3 linked regions of the Canis lupus familiaris genome follow. The protein of the gene in region 1 binds, or shares a complex with, the protein of each later gene. Links are inferred from orthologs where the notes say so. Each region holds a gene or a part of one and is shown on either strand. Other genes may lie near its edges.

Region 1 (6,107 bases):
GTTTTCCTTTACAGATTTTGGGATTTTCGGACTATTCTTTAGAGGGGGCACCTGAGTGGCTCAGTTGGTTAAGCACGTGACTCTTGATCTCAGCTCAGGTCTCAGGTCTTGATCAGGGTCAGAGTTCAGGAACCCAAGCCCCTCATTGGGTTCCAGGCACAGCATAGAGCCTACTTAAAAAAAAAAGACTCAGGTTACTTCTATAGAATTGCTAATTCAGTGACTTTGTAAGGAGCAAAATATCTTACTTTGGGCTATGCTTGGAATAATGACTACCTCTGTGGTAGCAACCAACATTGATTTGGTGGTTTCAGATTCTATCAGAAGCCTACTTAAGGACCACTAAACCCCCACATCTAGAGATGCCCAACTTAAGAGAGACTTTAATTTTTTCTACTGTAATTTTTTTCTTTTCAAATATCCGTTGTTTTTTTTTTTTTTTTTAACTTTAGTCTCTTGGAAATTATATAGTTGGCAACTTAGTTGGATGGGGAAAAAAAATCCTATTAATCCTAGTTGTATTCTTATATTCATCTTTCAACCTGGCCAGCAACTCCTAATGATGTTTATTAGAGGGAAAAAAAAAAAAGAACATCCAACTCTTATTTTTGCTTTACAACCGAGAAACAGATTCCTGATTTTGGTTTTGACTGGGAGCATTGATGCTGACAAGTATTTTTCCAAGAGACCTTCCAAAGTGGTCAGATTTGTGGGCTGTTGGAATAACCACTGTGTGGTCGCTAACTAGGACTGAGCTCATGAAGTGATTTCACTACCAGCCTGGATTCTCTAACCCAAAGCCCAAGAAAGCTAGAAGTGAAGAAAACAGCCTGTAATGAGCAATCATTTGCGTAACACTTTTTAAATGAGTCTTAAGTCATTCTCCAGAATGCCTTTTTTGTTTAATAATTAAAGCCATACTCTGTTCCTTTCAGAGTGACTTAGCTAAGCCTCTGTTCTGTGTTCGGGCACTTAACCAAAAGTTCTAATCAAAGAAAATATTTTATTGCTTATTTGGAAGCACCATGCTATTAAGATAGCATACTTTCTATTAGTCTATTTTTCTTTAAATTTGAACTCAAAGGACAAGAGGAAAATAATAATTGAAAACAGACTGTAGTTGCCATAAGCTTTGTGAGAAAGGATCACTGTGGAGCTTACCACCCTAGAGACATTGGTTATGCGGATGGAAAAGAGTACTTCACCCTCTGATTTTACCACTCCCCATTGCTCTTGCTTATAAATGCAGATGGCAAACGATACGACTTAAAAAACCAAGTTGTCGAATCAAGAATCACCGTTTAGGTTACAACTTCCCTCATAAAACAAAGGTCATTTCCTATAACCTTGGCTTTAATGCTTCCCAAATAGTTTCCCCCACCAGGCCCCAGGCACTGTATTTGAGCAGGGCAGCTGCTCTGGGAGTATACACTCCAACTTGATGACCGGTTTCTATCAAAGAGAACTCAACCCCATGGAATTACCAGTGTGGCACTTGAATTTCTACAGAGCATTGAGAAGCCTGGGCAGGGCAAAGGACACTTGCTATTCAGGGTTAGTGAATATTGAACAGAATCTCAGAATATATTGAAAGTCAAGTTTATTTATTTGACATATAAGGCTGTTACCTCTGGACTTTTTGATTTGTAAAATATGAAGCATTTCATCAAGTTGGATCTCACAGTTCCTGTCCCCTACTGCAGGCAGTTTCCTCCCACCTGCACCAGCCCTTTGCCCCCAGCTGCTTAGAGCTTTCTTGCTGCAAGGATGGTATTTACTGTCTTGTGCTAAAGAGGATGTTGGTGATTTTCACATTTCTTTGGCTTATGGCTTGTGACGTTATCACCCTGCCCTGTGTCTGCTTTCTTTCAGATTTTAGATTTCTGACATTCCAAGAGGTCTTTATGGACTGTTGTTTTTCCCTCTTTGCTCCTCCTTTGGTAAAATGTAGAAGAGAATATTCAAAAGCAGTCCCTGGAGAGCTTTGGGAAAGCAGTAACCACACATCTCCTAGGCAATTTTAGATCTTTGGTTTCTGATGAGCCTTAATGAAAGAGATATGCGTCATAATCAACATTAAGTTCAATAACTTTTTTTATTGCCTAAAAATGATAAGCCAAATCACTTCAGCTCTGACCATGATAAAAATCCAAATGCATTTCTAAAATAAATACTAACCAACAGTGTCAGGACTAGACTTGGGTAAGGAGAGGCACTTGCCTCGGGCACAGAATTTCAGGAGGCCTCAAGAAAAACATCAAGAAACCCCCAACACCTCAGTAATCAAGATAAATTATATTTTAATGCAACATTTTTAAAATTAATGCACAAATTCACGATGAACAAAATATCAAAATTTTAAATAGGATCAGTAATAGTGCTTTGCCAAGCCATATTGGAGCCTTAGACAAGGGGAAAAATCAGTAATACCAATCCTATATTTATGTAAAATTTTGATTTTTTGTTTATTAGAATTTTTTTGCATCAATTTTCATTTATTTAAATATTGCATTAGGATATTATGTCTCTTGATTACTGAGCTTTCTGGTGTTCCCTTAAATTTTGCACTCAAGACAAGGGCCCCACTTAACATCACCCTAGTTCAGACCCTGTTAACCAGAATGGCAGTGTTAGGGAAATAAAGTGGCGTAGCCCCTCCTCTCAAAATGTCAATTCAGGGGTGGGGGGATATGTATAGTTATGTTTAAAGTCTAGTTATCATCTTTGGGGAACCACATCCGTAATTTTGGCCCTGGTTTGGCCAAAAATGGTAGTCTCCATTAGAAAGCATTTCCTAAATCCAAAAATGGAAAAGTTGTCTTTTTGTTAATTCTGTCTGAAGGTATCATATTATCAAAATCCATTACATCTTAAAAAGAAGAAGAAGAAAGAAGAAGAAGAAGAAGAAGAAGAAGAAGAAGAAGAAGAAGAAGAAGAAGAAGAAGAAGAAAGAAGAAGAAAGAAGAAGAAGGCAATGAAGAAAGAAGAAAGAAAGAAAGAAAGAAAGAAAGAAAGAAAGAAAGAAAGAAAGAAAGAAAGAGAAAGAAAGAAAGAAAGAAAGAAAGAAAGAAAGAAAGAAAGAAAGAAAGAAAGAAAGAAAGAAAGAAAGAAAGAAAGAAAAGAGCAGCCTGTTTAGGAAAACTCCTCTAGTTCAAGTCATCAAAAGTTTCTCCTTCCACGGTAGTTTCCTCTGGCTCTTTCCCTGTTAGTCTTGGCAGGAGAGGGCCTGTGAGGTTTCTTACGGTATTCCACTTTTGTCCATCCTCCTTCGCTGACTTTGCTCTCCTCTTCATTGGCTCTTGAGTCGGTCTCCGTGTGTAAAGGCATCCCTGGTATGGTCCTGGGTTGGTGGCAGTCATTTGGGCTTCTCTTGAGGTCAGGTGACTGCTGCGTGTTGAGTGCTGACTGAGAAACCCTGTAGAATTTTCCAGAATATCTTTCTCGTGAAGGAGTGGAATGCTGACTCTTCCCGCTATACCTTCCCCTAGGAGAAGAATTGAGTGATACGCTGCCACGATCATATTTGTTCTTGCTCCTACCTGAGTATCGACCTCTCTCTAAAGAGCTGTCAGTTGGAAGACTGGAAAAGCTACTGTCCCTGGAGTTGAGATGTAGAGAAGAGAAGTTTTTGGTTAGTCCGTACTGAGTAGGAGAGGAGCTTCTGGATTGGTTGATGGGTGTAATCTGTTGATACTTAATGGGCACCTGGGTCCGCCTGACAGCAGCAGCGTAGGAATCCTGATCATTGAAATATGGGAAGAATTGTGACCCCAGAATGGGGTTGCTCTGGGAACACTGTAGAGAAGTATTGGAAGCAATCTGCCGCATCCTCAGAGTATCCAGCCACTGGCGATCAGCACCTGCAGAGGAAATGGAAATGAGCATCTTTTAAGCCACAGTAAAGCTGCATGCCTAATTCATAAGCCTGTCTCAAGAGAATTCAAGCCTGCTTGGGATGCTCCGTGCTTTCCCATTCATAGAAATCCTAGGCGAGGGATAAGGACATATCCTTCATTATTATAAATTCTTCCTTAAAAATAAGGGCATTTGTACTGAGTCTATGCTTGGCATCGTTCCAGAGGCTTTACTGACATGATCTCATTCACTCCTCTCAGTAGTCTCAGGTAAGTGCTAATAATTTTACTCTGTAAACTAGGAGACTGAGGCTTGGGGAGGTCTGGTCGCTTGCCCAAGGTCACTCAGCTAATAATTCCAGGTCCTTCTGCATTTACAATCCCATCTTCTTCCCACTTAGCCACATCCTCACTTCTAGAAATTGCTGCTTGCGTGTGTTTGGATGGTAGGGGCATGTTTAGTAAACGAAAGGCTTTTTGCTAACGGGAACTTTTAAATCCTCAAGAACCCTAAATGCAGATAAAAGAAATTGGATTCCAGGGGTTGAGACAGCTGGGGATTGTCTGGGAGAAAGACAGCTCATGTCTCTAGAAGAGAGATTGTGAGGTTCAGGAATAAGATATGGGTTTTTTTTTCCATGAAAAATGAAGCCTCATGGCAGACAGGAAGAGAAGGTAAAAGAAAATGGTAAATAAACAAGAACCATTTAGGAAGCTCTGTTTCAGTGGATAAGCAAGTCACACCTTGGATCTTTACTGTCTTCCCCAGGGCCTGAGTCACATCTTTTGAGTTCCCTCCTAGTCCTCCCTGAGCTGTCCTCGCACGCTTGCCAGGAGGTTCTAGAGAGGAACAGAGCATGCTCACTCCTGTCTCCAGCAAGAAGCCCCTGCCTCACTGCTCCGCACAGGGGACCGCATCTTGGAGGTGAGTGACTTGTCCCAACACAGGTGACCTCTTGTGTCCAGACCCTCCTCACAGCTTCAACCAAGCCACAGTGCCTTCTTGCCTTCCCCTTGACTTCTCTAGAATTTTAGCTACTTTTTTTTTTCTTAAGATTTTATTTATTTATTCATGAGAGACACAGGCAGAGGGAGAAGCAGGCTCCCCGTGGGGACTCGATCCTGGATCCAGGGATCATGACCTGAGCCAACGGCGATGCTCAACCGCTGAACCACCCAGGCGCCCCTGAAATTTTAGCTTCTACTGGAGCCTTGGCTTTGTTGGTGGTCCGCCCCCTCATGGGGGCCGAGGGCACAGGGGGTGGGGGGGTGGGGGGGGAAGCTGCCCATATTCTGGCCCTCATGGCCGACTTTGGCCTGCTCAGATGCAGAGGTGTCGTGGTGAGGTATGGACAAGTTGCTCAGTTTCTGGCCAGAGCAATCTGAGGGGTCGTCTGCGGGGTGGGGGGGGGGGGTAAGTCTCTCTCACCCCTCCACACCAGAGCAGGAAAGGCATGGGCCCCTCCTGTCCTCTGCTCATTGCCATTTCTTTATACGATGGCTATGACTGTGGAGGAGCGAGGCCCAGGTAAGGCGACATAGTGAGGACGGCAGAGTGGAGGCAAGGAAAGGTTTGCTCCTCGCCCTTCATGCGGGTGAGCCAGCTTCTCTCCCTGCACTCGAGCCCAGCCGTCTTCGGGGCGTCTTCTCCAGGAGATAGCACATTTGATTATAGTTAAAACCCGTGGTTCAGAACTTTCGAGTGCCTACATCGCTGGTCCCTCCCCCCAGTTTCTGACTCTTCTGGTCTGGGGTTGGACTTGAGAATTTGCATTTCTAACAAGTTCCTATTGGTTCTGAGGCTGCCATTCCTGGGACTACACTTTGGTCCATTTGGGAGAAAGCTGGTGGAGGTTGGATTTCCTGTTACTTGCAGCTAAAACATATATCCTAACTGATGCAGGTGGTATCCTTTGAGTTTTTACATCAAAAGGGAAATAAAAATACGAGGAGGAAGGAAGAGGGGAGGCAAACCAGGTAAAACTGGGGTAAGCCGAAGGGAGGTCACTCCCTCCTTCTATCCTACAACCTCTCCTGTTCATAATAATCAGAGGGAAAGGTTTGTCTAAAGCCATTCCACTGGGAGATTGAAGGCTATTGACCATTCCTAACTCTCTTAGAGAAATGATTTGCTTTCTCGCCTAAAATTTAGATTTCAGAGAGGTACAGAACACCTGTTAGACATCTGCCCATTGTCTTCTTTGGGGAATGTCTAGTCTGTCTCCACTCACATGGCTACAGTTCACTGCACAC
Region 2 (6,160 bases), on another chromosome or scaffold:
CACCATGTAGGGCTGTTGGTGTTTGGCTGCTGGTGGTGTGATGGTGTTAAGCTTTCCCTGGGTGTTGGTTGGTTTTTGGTGTTTTTTTCTGATTGTGTGTGGAGGCCAGTGGGGACAGCTGGGCTAGGCTCAACCCTGGCGGTTGAACCCCCGAAGTCCCGCAGCCTCTCAACCCTGGAGAAGCCCCCCACTCACCTCGGGCAGCAGCCGCAGGGTCAGGCAGCACCACATGGGCGTGCAGCTCCTGCAGCTGCTGGTGCAGCAGGTCCAGGCGGCGGGAGGAGCCGCGCAGCAGCAGCTCCACGGGGCCGAGGCTGCGGCCCAGGTCGGTGGTGGCCCGCCGCAGGTTCTCGGCGCCCTCCTTCAGCTTCAGTTCCTTGCGGATCTCGCGCCGCAGCCGCTCCCGCTCCAGCTCCAGCTGCTGCTGCACCCCCGGAGCCGCCAGGTCCGCACCTGCCAGGCCCAGCTGCTCCAGCAGGGACCAGCTGCGCGGCTCGCTCTGCGGGAGACGGAGCGCGGTCAGTGGGGCCCGGACACCGCAGCGCCCAATGCGCTCAGCCAGCTTGGCCTGGCCTCCTCGCGGCCGGGGGCTTCCAAAACATGCTCCGACCCTCCAAGCCGGGAGGTGAGACGTGGTGCTGTCTCTGCTTCCTGACTGCCCTAAACTGTGGGGTCCCAAGGGCATGGGCTTCCTCCTCCTCTGGCCCCTGAGGCGAGGGGACCCCATAAGTACTGTCCCGTCTCCCTTCATCTATTTCTTATGCAGTAGGATTCTGGAGGACAGGCACCACTATCTCACCAGTGTGCCCCCCCAAATGAAGAGGTCCCTAAATTCAGGCCCTATCTCCCATTGCCCCCCCCAAGAAGGTCCTGAGGGCAGACCCCTTGTCACTTCTGCTGTCCCCCTAGGGTAGGAGGTCCCAAGGGTAGGCCCCAACTCCCCTCTACTGTCCCTAAAACTAGGCCCCAAGGGCAGGCTCCATTGTCCCTCTGCTGCTCCTCAAACAAGGAAGTATCAGGACAGGCCTCTGCTGCCAACCCCTCCCCAAAACAATGGGGTCAAGATCCTTTGAGCAGGCCCCCTTCCTCTCTGCTATGCCCTCACGCTGGGAGGTGCCAAGGGCAGGTCTCGTCTTCCCTCTGCTATAACCCCAAACTACGTTCTGAGGACGGGCCCCACCTCTCTCCTGTTGTACCCTCAAACTAGGAGGTCCTGGCAAGCTCTGTCTCCCCTGCTCTCATCCTCTACAACCGGGCCCTAAAGAGCAGAGCCCTGTCTCCTTCCTTCTCTATTTCCCCGACCTGGGAGCCTCAAAAAAACCCCACGTATTTTCATCTTCAAAACAGAAAACTCCTAAACCCATCTCTCCTTGGTCCAAAATCGAGAGGTACCGAGGGCAGGACCTCCGGTCTGTGTCACCGGGGTCCTCTCTGGCCCCCCACCCCGACCCCAGCCCCGACCTCCAGCTCCTGGTCCAAAGGGGGATTGGCCTCCGCCATCCTGGGTCCGGGCTGAGGGCCCCGCCCTCTTCCTGAACCTCAGCCCTCCCAGGGCCTCTTGACCGCCACTTCCTCTTTCCTGCTAGCTCCCAGCATCCCCTGCGTGGGGCCAGCTCTGGGGCTTTGGGGCACCTAGAGGACCTTCCCTCCCTGTGCCCTCTCCGGGACTAAGCCTGACTTCTCAGGAGGCAACCAGGGACAGCCCTCCCTCGACATCCTAGGAGGTTGCTAAGGTGTGCACACACCTCACATGCTCGCTAGTGTAGACATGGAGACCAACCTCCTTTGAGTATATGCAGGCTCCAGGGGCTACCCTAGGTGTATACACCCTCTCGTGTACCTATAGGTGTGTGCACAAAACACAGGCAGGCACGTGTGTGCCCACCCTGTGCCTACCCCATGCACACAGATACACACAAGCCCGCCAGAGAGGCTTCTATGGCCAGCCCCCTTCCTGCTGACGCAGGCAGTCCCTACTTCCGGCTTCCTCTCAGTCTGGTCACCCACTGCTGTAACCACAGGTAGGGCCCAGCCAGGCCAGGGCCACCTCTCTGAGCCCTACATCATGAGGAGACAGTGCTGGAGGGCTGGGTTAAGAGTACCCACAAACCAGTGGCCCACTAAAAGCCAAGTATGACTATTAATAATAAGAAGAGTAGTTTTTAGGAGTTCTGCTGAGGTCACCTAATGCGAGTTCATGAGGTGGGTACTGTCATCACCCCATTTTCAAGACAAGGATACCAAGGCCTGGAGTGGTGATGTCATAACTTGCTCTGAGGCCCCACAGCCAGCAGGAGGAAGGGCTGGGATTTACTTTATTTTTTTTTAAAGATTTTATTTATTTATTCATGAGCAACACAGAGAGAGAGACCGAGAGAGAGGCAGAGACACAGGCAGAGGGAGAAGCAGGCTCCATGCAGGGAGCCCGACGTGGGACTCAATTCCGGGTCTCCAGGATCACGCCCCGGGCTGCAGGCAGCGCCAAACCGCTGCGCCACTGGAGCTGCCCAAGGGCTGGGATTTAAAACAGGAGTGCCCAGAATCTGCTCACCCTGTCCAAGTGTCAGGCCTGGCACTGAATGACAGTCCCCACTGGGGGACCCATTGCACAGATGAGGAAAGTCCTTGTTGGCTCCCAGCCAAACCAGAGGGCAGCTGTCCCCAGCAAGGGTTCAGCTGAGAGTGTCACTCTCACCATCCTACCAACCCATCACATGAATCCTGAGCCACTGCCACTATTCTTCCCTACTCTCCAGGCGAGGAAACAGGCTGAGAGAGGTGACAGTAGCAGTTCGGGGTGGGGGAGGTTATCCCCACACACACCTCCAGGGCCACTGAACAACATCCAGAAACGTTTTTGGTTGTCACAACTAGGGGTGGGGAGGATGTACTCCTGGCATCTTTTGGGTTGAGACTTGGGAACCTGATCAACATCCTAAGGTGCACCGGACAGCCCCCACCTCAAAGAATGATTTGGCCCCAAACATCAATAGCACTGATGTCAAGAAACCCTGCAATAAAGGACACAGATTCACACCCTGGGCTGCTGACCATGACCACCAGTAAGGATTTCTCAGCAGCTCCACCTGCAGAGCACAGGCCCATCTACATCTCTCCCTTTGGACTATGAACACCCTTGTAGACCCATTTTTTTGGTGGCAGGACCATGGCTCAGAGAGGCAAAGGCACTGGGTCCAGGACACACAGTGAGAAAGTGACAGAGCTGGAATTTAAACCCAAGTTCACCTAATACTACCAGCTGGTGACCAGTGCCCGCCTACCACCCAGCCCCATCCCATCCCTAGCAGGCAGAGCAGGGTACAGCCAGGGTCCAGGCCAGCTCAAATAGGGACAGTCCAGGCAGACAGGAAGAGAAGCTGAGGCCTGAGAACACGCAGAGCAGGGAGGGAAGGAGACAGGCCCAGCCTCCTGGGTTCTCTTCCCTTGGGTGACTCACTCCTACCCAGAGGGCAGAGGTGATCCCTGGGCCAGCAAGGCAAACCCACGAATCAGGAGCCTGGCCCAGCCTTGGAGAATCCCTGCTCCCCCACCTCCCACCTCCCACACGAGACCCAGGTCCAGAGGGTCCACCTCCCAGAATCCCCCCCTTCCCAGAGCAGCCAGGGCCCTAGACCCTCATGTCCGGAGATTTCAATGCTTTGGGCGTTTCCGGAATCTGGACAGGACATCCGTTTGCCGGACACAAAACAGACAGGCATACGTCGGGACAGACAGAGGGACAGGGTGGCAGGCCCAAGCAGGCACAAGGGATGACCAGGAGGGGGGAACAGAGTGGGGAAGACATGGGAGGGGGGACAACAGCACAGGTCCAGCCTCATTCCAGGAATCACGGCCTCCACCCGGGTCATGTTTCGCACATGCCAAGTGCATGCATGCGCCAGGGGATTCCTACAGAGCCCTCCCAGGGCTGGGGGTAGAGTCAGAAACCCCGGCCCACCCCAGCCCCAAGGTCTGACCTTATGTGATCGGCAACACCAGATACGCCCAGCTCCACGGCAAGGCTGACAGGCCATCAGCAGGACTGGGGTGGGGGACAGGGAGTCATGGGGGAGACACAGAGGGGATGGGGGCAGGTGCAGAAGGAGACGAAAACCCAGTTACACAGCAACCACAGGACAACAGAGGGATTTTGAGGCACTATTGAGGGCACCAGAGGCACAGGATGTGCCTCAGATTCTGAACCGAAGGTCAGAAGTCATTCTGGCCTGGCTTGTCACAGATGTGGAAGGTGAGTCCAAGGCTGTGATATTCACAAGGTGGTACACGGAGAACCTGGCTGGTGGCAGGTTGGTGCCAGGCTGTGTGTGTCTGCGTGACCCAGCCCTGCCACCCATGCCCAGGTAGTGTTCCAGGTCCAAGAGAATCCCCAGCCTGGGATAAGGTTCCACCTGGTAGCCCTGAGCGCGGCCACTGTGGGTCCCCCATTCCTCAACCTAATGAGGTGACTCTAGGACACTTCCGCCAACAGGTGCCAATCTGGGTGGCGTCCGGATCATCATAAAGCTCAGTCTGGAGGCGGGGGGCCGCCAGAGCTTTGTTGTGCGGGGGAGGGGCACGGACCGAACGGCCTCCTCCCCTCCGGGCCACTGCGCCAGGCACCTGCCCCAGGTGGAGCGGCACCTGCCGGGAACCGAACGCTGGGGTGGGGGAGAGGGAGTGCCGAGTCGAGCGGCGGGGGCGGCGGGCACCGGGACGCACAGCCAGCCACAGACACTGGAGTGGAGCCTCCGCCGCGCCCCCTCTAATCCTCGGGCAGGGGCGGAGCTTGGGGTGCAGCGGGGCCTTCCGGACCTCCCCGCTCCCCCTCGATGCATACCTCCACCTGCCGAAAAGGGGACCGCGCCCGCTCCACCGTGTTGGCCCGGGGAGGGGGCGCCGGGCACGCGGGAGGCCCCCGCCCGGGCCGACCCGGGCCGCGGGGGACCCGGCAACGCGCGGGCGGGGGTCCCCGGCGCTGGCCGGCCGCCGGGCGGCTGCGGACGCAGGTGCGCCTACCTGCACGGCGTCGCTGGCCATGTCCTCGCGCCGCCCGCCAGGGGTCCCCGCGCGGAGGGAGGGGCGGCGGGAGGAGCGCGCGTGCGCCCCGCGCGGGGCGGGGAAGGGGCGGGCGCGGCGCAGCCCCCGCCGGCGCGCGGCCCGCTCCGGCCTGCTCCGTCCGCTCCGGCCCCGCCTGGCCAGGCCGCCGCGTCCGCGCGCCGCGCCCTCCGGCCCCAGCGGCCGCCGGGCCGGGTCACGTGACCGCCGAGGTCGGCGCCCGGGGAGGGGGCGGGGCGGCGGGGGCGCGGCTCCCGGCGGCCCCCGGGGCTGCGGGTCCCGCCTGCGGGGCTCTGCGGGTCGGCGGCCGCGACCCCCTTGCCGGCTGCTCCCGCGCGTGCCTGGGGCCGCACCTCGCTCGGCCCCGGGGTGCCCCAGCTGAGCGCGCGGGAACCCGAAGGAAAGACTCAGCCACGTTAAAGCGGGGCGTGGCAGAGGCCTCCGGGCCTCCCGGGACCCCTCTGAAAACAAAAGCGATTCGCCTCCCCCGCCCCGCCCCCTCCTTTGCAAACTCGAGTCTCCTGGGAAGGATCCCCCGTTGCCTGCAGACGGGCTCTGGGCAGATCTGGGTTCAAATCCCAGCATCCCGTGCCTTGAGGGAGCCCCCACATCGTGAGCGCCTCAGCTGTGAGACTGGATTTACCAACCCACCCCTCTGGTGTCGATAAAATTAAGTGAGATCGTGCATGCCCAGGGTTGAGAAACTAGTAAGGACCCAATAAGTGTTAGCTGCTGTGGCTTTTAATGGGATTGCCCTTGCTATGAAAATAGCTTGAATCCCGGCTCTGTCACTGGCTCTGGCTGAGGGCCCTAAGGATCCTGTGGCCCGCTGAGACTCAGTTTTCCCTGTGATACGAGGCAGACCTTTTCTTCGGAGCTGTGGCATACAGGTGGGGGTCCATAAATGCAGGCTCGTGCCCAAGTGGAGGAGGAGAGTGGAGGCCTCCATGGAGCTTCTCCAGGGTCCCCGGAGTCTCCAGAGCGTGCAGCTTGGCTCTTGGCTGACCTCGGACTCCCTTAGAAACCGGGTGAGTGAGCCAAACCTTGGTCCCTGGGGCTCAGGGCGGGGCGCTCCATGGAGACTGAGCCTGAACTTGGGTGCCCT
Region 3 (6,115 bases), on another chromosome or scaffold:
GGATACCCTCATTTTAAAATGGGAGCCAGAGAAAAGCATCAGAATCCATCAAAATGGGATTCAATTAGAAAAATTACTTTATAACAAATTTGACTGAATTATTTTTTTTAATTCTTTATGTTTATATATCAATAACATAAATATTTGCAATTATCTTTAAATATCTATTTGTTGTTGGTACTGGCAACATGCAGTGAACCATCTTGCTTTCGGTTACAAAGAAAAGCAAATGGGAAGAAAGTTCAGTAAGGGCCTACTATCGTCACCAGAAAAGTAAAGGGCAGGCCCCTCTTACTGATTAGGAGTCAAGAAAGTCATCTTTGCATAGTCAATAATGATGTATTTTCATTTATCTGTGCCCTGGCTCATCCTAAAAGAAAAGAATAAAAGATTTAAAACAGTGAATGGCTATTAACACTAAACCTTAGCTTTGTTTATTATATTCATGTATATACAGTCTTATTCCACAGAGCATTTAGGAAGCTGGATTTGATTTCTTAGTAAGTTTTGCCATCCTCTCACTAAAAAATCTTGCATAGGCTAAATACACTCGTGATAAATATAAACTACACAGTAAAATGCCTAGAACAGTAAGCAATCCATAAAATGTAGTTTTTTTATTCACATTAGACTTAGCTTGACGAGGGAATGGATTATCTCACTGTCTTGCTCAGCACTCTATCTCATGAAACCTAGCCCATTATCTAGTCCGTAGCTGGTATTCAGTGTTGTTGAATCAACAAAGGACTATGACTTAAGAGTATTTTTTATTTTATGGCTACCTATTTTATGGCTACCAGGGCCCCACCTCCTCTAATCAACAGCAAGGGTCTGGAAAAACCATACCCAGAGGAAAGGCATTTAAGTTCCTGTTTATATTTCCTTAAACTCACCACAAAGAGTCCCTCCTTCTGTCCCAAAACCAGAAAATCAATGCTTTGCAACAAAGTATTCTTAAACAATTTTGCTTCATTTCCCCTCACAGACAATGCAACAAAGTTCCTTAAAACTGCAAGACTTATTTAGTTCCCTTTACCTTTTAAAAAGGAAAGGTATATTATAAAACCTTATCAATTTTTTAAAAAATTGAAAAATTAAAAAAATAAAACCTTATCAATTTTCAATTTCTAGTCTGATTCCTTGATCTTGGATTCATAGCATACAGGCTGCTGCTTGCCTTTTTACTGTAGACTTAGTGAAAATTAAAATGAGAAAATAGGCTTAACATAAAAAACTTTTAATATACATCAAAGTATATCACACTTAGGAGCAATCAAATTAGGAAACTGACAGATATTTGCGTGAGGTTGCATTCCTTAAAATGCTTTCAGAGATTCTTTTTCGGAACAGACTTCAGATCCAGTTCTACAAGTCACACAAGAAATTCTGTCATTACTTTATAGTTATAACTCCTATTTGACCTAAAACAAGACCAACCTGAATGCCTAATCTTTCTCGCCAGACTTGAGTACAAATTCTCTAAATTATTTGAATTCAGCTTGATTTTCTTATTCCCTAAAATCAAATCTGTTCTTAAAGGATGATGGCAGTGAAAAATAACACAGGCTCCAGAATGCTGTAAGAGAAATTAAAAAAAAAAAAAAAAAAAAAGTTTGCTGCAACACCCAAAACACTGCTAAGAATCTGAAAGAACTGAAAGAATAACTTCAAATAATTCTGAATGAGATGCCACTTACTTATGTATATCTAAATTCTGATATTTTCAATCCAAAATCAATTATATTTGCCATAGTCAACTGACACACATAAGATGCATTCTCTTCCACCAATATACCATATGTCACACTTTAAATCCCTCAACAGAAATACTACTAAAAACAAATGAATGGGCTCTGCCTCCTTGTAAAGACACATAAGAAACTTAACAGGGGCTGTCTCAGAGGAAAGGAATAGCACAGTTGGAGAACAAGAAAGGAAAGGATACCTTTCGTTAAATATCCTTTTACGCCTTTTGAATTTTATACAATGTGTATATAATTCTATACATATTTTTTAAAATATGTTTAACAAAATCACTTCCAAGTGTCAGATATTTCTGGCTTCTGTAAGCCAAAAAAGTATAGTACTAAGGAAATGTAAAGGTCATTTTTATGATACTTCACTCTAAATCTGAATCTGCAGTTCCAGGACAGAGCTATTCATACCAACAGTAGGAAGACCTTGCAAGCAGTTGTTTTCAGGTCCACTAAACTCCCCATAGTTGAGCTATTCTGCTGTATCATTTCATTAAAGTTTAAACATCATTGGAAACAGAAACTTGGTACTACGAAAATTAATGTCAATTATGACATAACAGAATGAAAAAGAGTGGTAAAATAATAAGCTATTAAAGGAGCCATGATCCAAATATATCTCTGAAAATTTGCAAATCAATCACACATATAGATGGATACAGTAAAATGTTGCAAATTCCCTTAAAACGTAAACTGCCATATTATAAAAATGAGGAAAAGATGTCAAGCACGGGACCATCAGCAAGATGAACTCACGCAGCTTGAACTAGAAAATGCAATATGATCTGTTGCTTGACACAATTGCACAATCTCAATTACCCAGAAGATTCTAGCAAACAGGAAATTCATGATGTGACTTTAAGAAACACAAGAATTATAAAGATTAACACATCCAAAAGTCTGGAATTCGTTTCCCTCACCCCCACCCCCACCCTCCCAAAATCTTATGGAGCCCTTTTCAAATGATTCACATGAATACAGGAATTAGTTTCAGATCAGCAGCTCTCAAGTTACAGTAACTCTAAAATATGGTGTGTAATACCTAAACTAGTGAAATATTTTAGATCCAAGAATTTTATTGGATCGATTTAATTTAAAACACAGTGTGAATTAAAGCTGAGAAGTGTCTCTCCCTTCCTTTGCTATATATTCCCTATCCTTATGAAAACCATCGTGTACCTCAGGCTACAAATGTAGATCAGTTCCCTGCGAACTCTCTAAAGAAGTTTAAAAACACAATATTCACAAGATGTACTGCAATTAAGAAATACTTACAATACCTCCCCAGATTGCTCATGATTCTTTGATCTTGAGCGCGTCCAACGGATCTGAATCTCACTTGCTCCAAGTGAAAAAACTGTTTTTGCCAAACAATACTTAAATGAGCAGTGGTATGTGACTAATCAGTGAAGCCGCCAGTTTCTCAAGCTGCAGTGTTCTTGCAGGCACTACCACCCACCCCCACTCAGCGAAAAGGAAATACGCTTTCAACAGAATCGGAAACACACAACTCAAGCTGGCACTAGGCTGGCCGAGATAAAGTCGGTATTTTCGGTTCTTTGGGTCGCTGCTAATGCAAGTGCGAATTCGAAAAGAATGCCTCTCGAAATGAGATTTCGAAAGAGGTCTGCAAAAAAAAAAAAAAAAAAAAGCCAGGGCAGAAAGCCCTTGGTCGTCAGTTTTGTTCCGACGCTCGCAGTCTCCCGTAGAGCTTGGCCCTTCTGCTTCTCCCTGCAGCCCCCCCGGGCTTGTCTGCTTGGAGGGCAGGCTCCCGCGCGCCCAGAGTGGCTGCACCTCCGGAGAGGCTCCTTCGGCTCGAGGCTGGCAGGGAGACACCCCCCACCCCCGGAGAGACGCCCCGGCCTCTGTGCCAGCCCCCCTCCCCCGAGCAGCCACCCCCCCAGAAGGGATTGCGCAGGGTGCGAGGCAGGGCCGAGCTCCAGCACCACCGCCCACCGTGGACCTGCATCCTGCACACAGCCGACCGCCTCCCTGGGGGTGCAGAGTGAGGGGTGCAAGGGGGTCCCGGGCGTGCAGCACAGGGGTCGAATGGGCAACGATGCCCTCCCCCAGAGAAAATTCCTACCGCTTGGTGCATCGCTGAGCTGTGTGGGCAGGCCTGGTTCTGGGGTGCTGAGGCCACCAAGCCCGCCGCAGACCCAAGCCCGGTGACACTCACCACACGGAGCCGTAGGCGCCGGAGCCCACCGGGGACAGGTTCTGGTAACGCTCGGGCACCTCCCAGATTGTCTTATTCAGCTCCTGCCGGTAGAACGTGGGCCTCTCCTGAGACATCTTCCAGCGGCGGCCGCGGGGCTAGGAGGTGGCCCTGAGGGGCCCCGCCTGCGCCCGCACCCGCACCCGCTCCCGCTCCCGCTCCCGGGCCCTCGTTGCCCGCCGGGCCGGGCGGGGACCCGGAGCTGGCAGTCGGCGCAGGTGCGGCAGACGCGACCCCGCCGACTCCCGCGCGCGCGGCCCCTGTCAGCCGCAGCTGCCGGGCGAGCCCGGTGAAGGGCAGGGGCAGGCTGCGGGGCTCAGGGCTGCGCCCACCACGCTCTCCCTGCACCCTCTCCCCGACCAGGCCGACCCCGGGCTGCGCCGCGGAACTGCGGCTCCAGCTGCAGCGCCCGCTCAAGTTCCAGTGATCGCCGTTCCAGAGCCAGCGAACAGGAGTCGCTAGCCGTACTCTCGCGAGACCAGCTCCCGGGACTCTCCGCGAGCCGAGATTTTACCCAATATGGAACCTGCCCACGGGAGGGGGTGGACTACCGGAGAGGATGGGAGGAGCACTTCTCGCGAGAAAAGGGCAACAGCTGGAGACCAGAGGCAGGAACTCTCGGGGACTGCTCTTAAGGGCGCGAAGGCGGACCCGGGAAAGGGAGGGACAGGCAGGCAACGTATGCCGCGTGCGCCCCACCGTGGTCGGCGGGGCAAACGCCCGGCTCCGTGGCGGGAGGCGACGGCGACTAATAGGGTGTCGGGAAAAGAGCCAAAAGATCTTTGAACTGCCGGTAGTCACCAGCAGCCGAGCATCTGCTCAGCAGAACCTCCAACTTCCAAGAAATACTTACATTTGGAAAAGGAAGGTTCCAGCCAGAAAGCCGTTATTCCATGTTCGGGGACATACGGCTTAATCTTCGGAACTGTGACGGACCCTATCCCGAAAGCAAGTATTAGCTCTACGTTAAGTCTGAGGTTTTCCACCCAAACTCTCCTAACGGTCTTTAAACGTTTATGTGCAAAAGAACACTTGGAGTGTTAAAAAAAAAAAAAAAAAAAAAAAGCCAAGTCCCAGGACCCACAGGGAGTCTAAGTGGATAGGTCGGTGATAGGCGCCAAGAACGCGCATTTTTATAATATGCTCCAGGCAGTTCTGATTCAGGAAAGTCTCCCGCATCCCCCTTGGAGAAGGATTTTTGAAAAGAGTACTTCTGAGGGTTTGAAACTGAATCCTGCTCTGAAGCTTGATTCTTGCCTCAGGTTAAGGAGAGCAAGGCAGAGGGTGTCCTATTAGGCAAGTCTATTGACCTCTCTTAGACTCTAGTTCCAGCTTCTGCAAAAGTAATTCCTGCCTTACATCCGCGCCTAATAGGGTTACCTGTAAAGCTGAACAAGATAGTAAGTGTGAGTGAGCAAGATACTATATAACCATGCCTACAGCCACTGTAACCAACTTATTCCTTTGTTAAAGTTTGTTACAATGTCTCTTAGAAGTAACTGGGTCCAAGCCAGGACACCTCTCAACCCTTCCCGTGATTATTCTCTTTCGTGTCGTGCATCCTTTAGAATGCTCAGATTTTGCATATCTTGTCCCAGCACCTAGCACAGTGCCTAGAATATAATAGGTACCCCATAAATATTTATTGAACAAATTATGAATAATGACCATGATCTCAACTTAGGAGAGAGTGCAGGATCCTCAGTTCTCCTCAAGGAAAAACAAAAATAAAAACCAGAGTCATGGGTCATTCCTGGAAAGCTTTTCTTGGAGGATCCGATGTGGCTTAGTCTGGATTCTCTCGCCTATGAAGACATGCTGCTTGAAAATGTTCCAAGGCTACCTGCAGTTTAGGGAGCCCTCCAAGAAGTAATGAAGGTTGAAGGAAGAGGCGAGAAGCAAAAATGTGATTGGAAAGAAATGGCGGGTGGGAGTGGGCAATCAAGGTGATGAGTGGATGGATACAAGGGAGGAAACTCGGCAGTAGGAATGAACCTAAGGAATTCATGATTATCCACCAAATTGGGATAGTGAAGTGGGAGTGACTGAAAGGGTAAAAATGAACTAAACAGTACATTCAGTCACTCTTTCAACAAACATGTACCGAATGCCTACTCTGTGCCAGCCACTTCTGATTGACAAA

What was found. The genes of interacting proteins can lie anywhere in the genome.
Region 2: MAP3K20 (region 1) and PKN1 share a complex: the UniProt entries of both Homo sapiens proteins name them as parts of the signaling complex. The link is inferred for Canis lupus familiaris from reciprocal best matches to the Homo sapiens genes MAP3K20 and PKN1.
Region 3: MAP3K20 (region 1) and MAPK14 share a complex: the UniProt entries of both Homo sapiens proteins name them as parts of the signaling complex. The link is inferred for Canis lupus familiaris from reciprocal best matches to the Homo sapiens genes MAP3K20 and MAPK14.

Annotation. Positions count from the first base shown.
Region 1 is NC_049257.1:17,819,979-17,826,085, reverse strand, and holds the end of MAP3K20 (mitogen-activated protein kinase kinase kinase 20), read right to left. Parts: intron 4,780-6,107; exon of another isoform or gene 4,327-4,779; intron 3,861-4,326; coding exon 3,243-3,860; coding exon of another isoform or gene 3,160-3,242; exon of another isoform or gene 3,027-3,159; intron 2,045-3,026; coding exon 1,962-2,044; 3' UTR 1,584-1,961; downstream 1-1,583. UniProt on the Homo sapiens protein: Stress-activated component of a protein kinase signal transduction cascade that promotes programmed cell death in response to various stress, such as ribosomal stress, osmotic shock and ionizing radiation.
Region 2 is NC_049241.1:48,578,397-48,584,556, forward strand, and holds the start of PKN1 (serine/threonine-protein kinase N1), read right to left. Parts: upstream 4,050-6,160; 5' UTR 4,035-4,049; coding exon 3,978-4,034; intron 1,597-3,977; exon of another isoform or gene 1,501-1,596; coding exon of another isoform or gene 1,462-1,500; intron 500-1,461; coding exon 196-499; intron 1-195. UniProt on the Homo sapiens protein: PKC-related serine/threonine-protein kinase involved in various processes such as regulation of the intermediate filaments of the actin cytoskeleton, cell migration, tumor cell invasion and transcription regulation.
Region 3 is NC_049233.1:5,325,689-5,331,803, reverse strand, and holds the start of MAPK14 (mitogen-activated protein kinase 14), read right to left. Parts: upstream 4,050-6,115; coding exon 3,934-4,049; intron 1-3,933. Other genes in the region: SLC26A8 (testis anion transporter 1), read left to right, coding at 4,866-4,920. UniProt on the Homo sapiens protein: Serine/threonine kinase which acts as an essential component of the MAP kinase signal transduction pathway.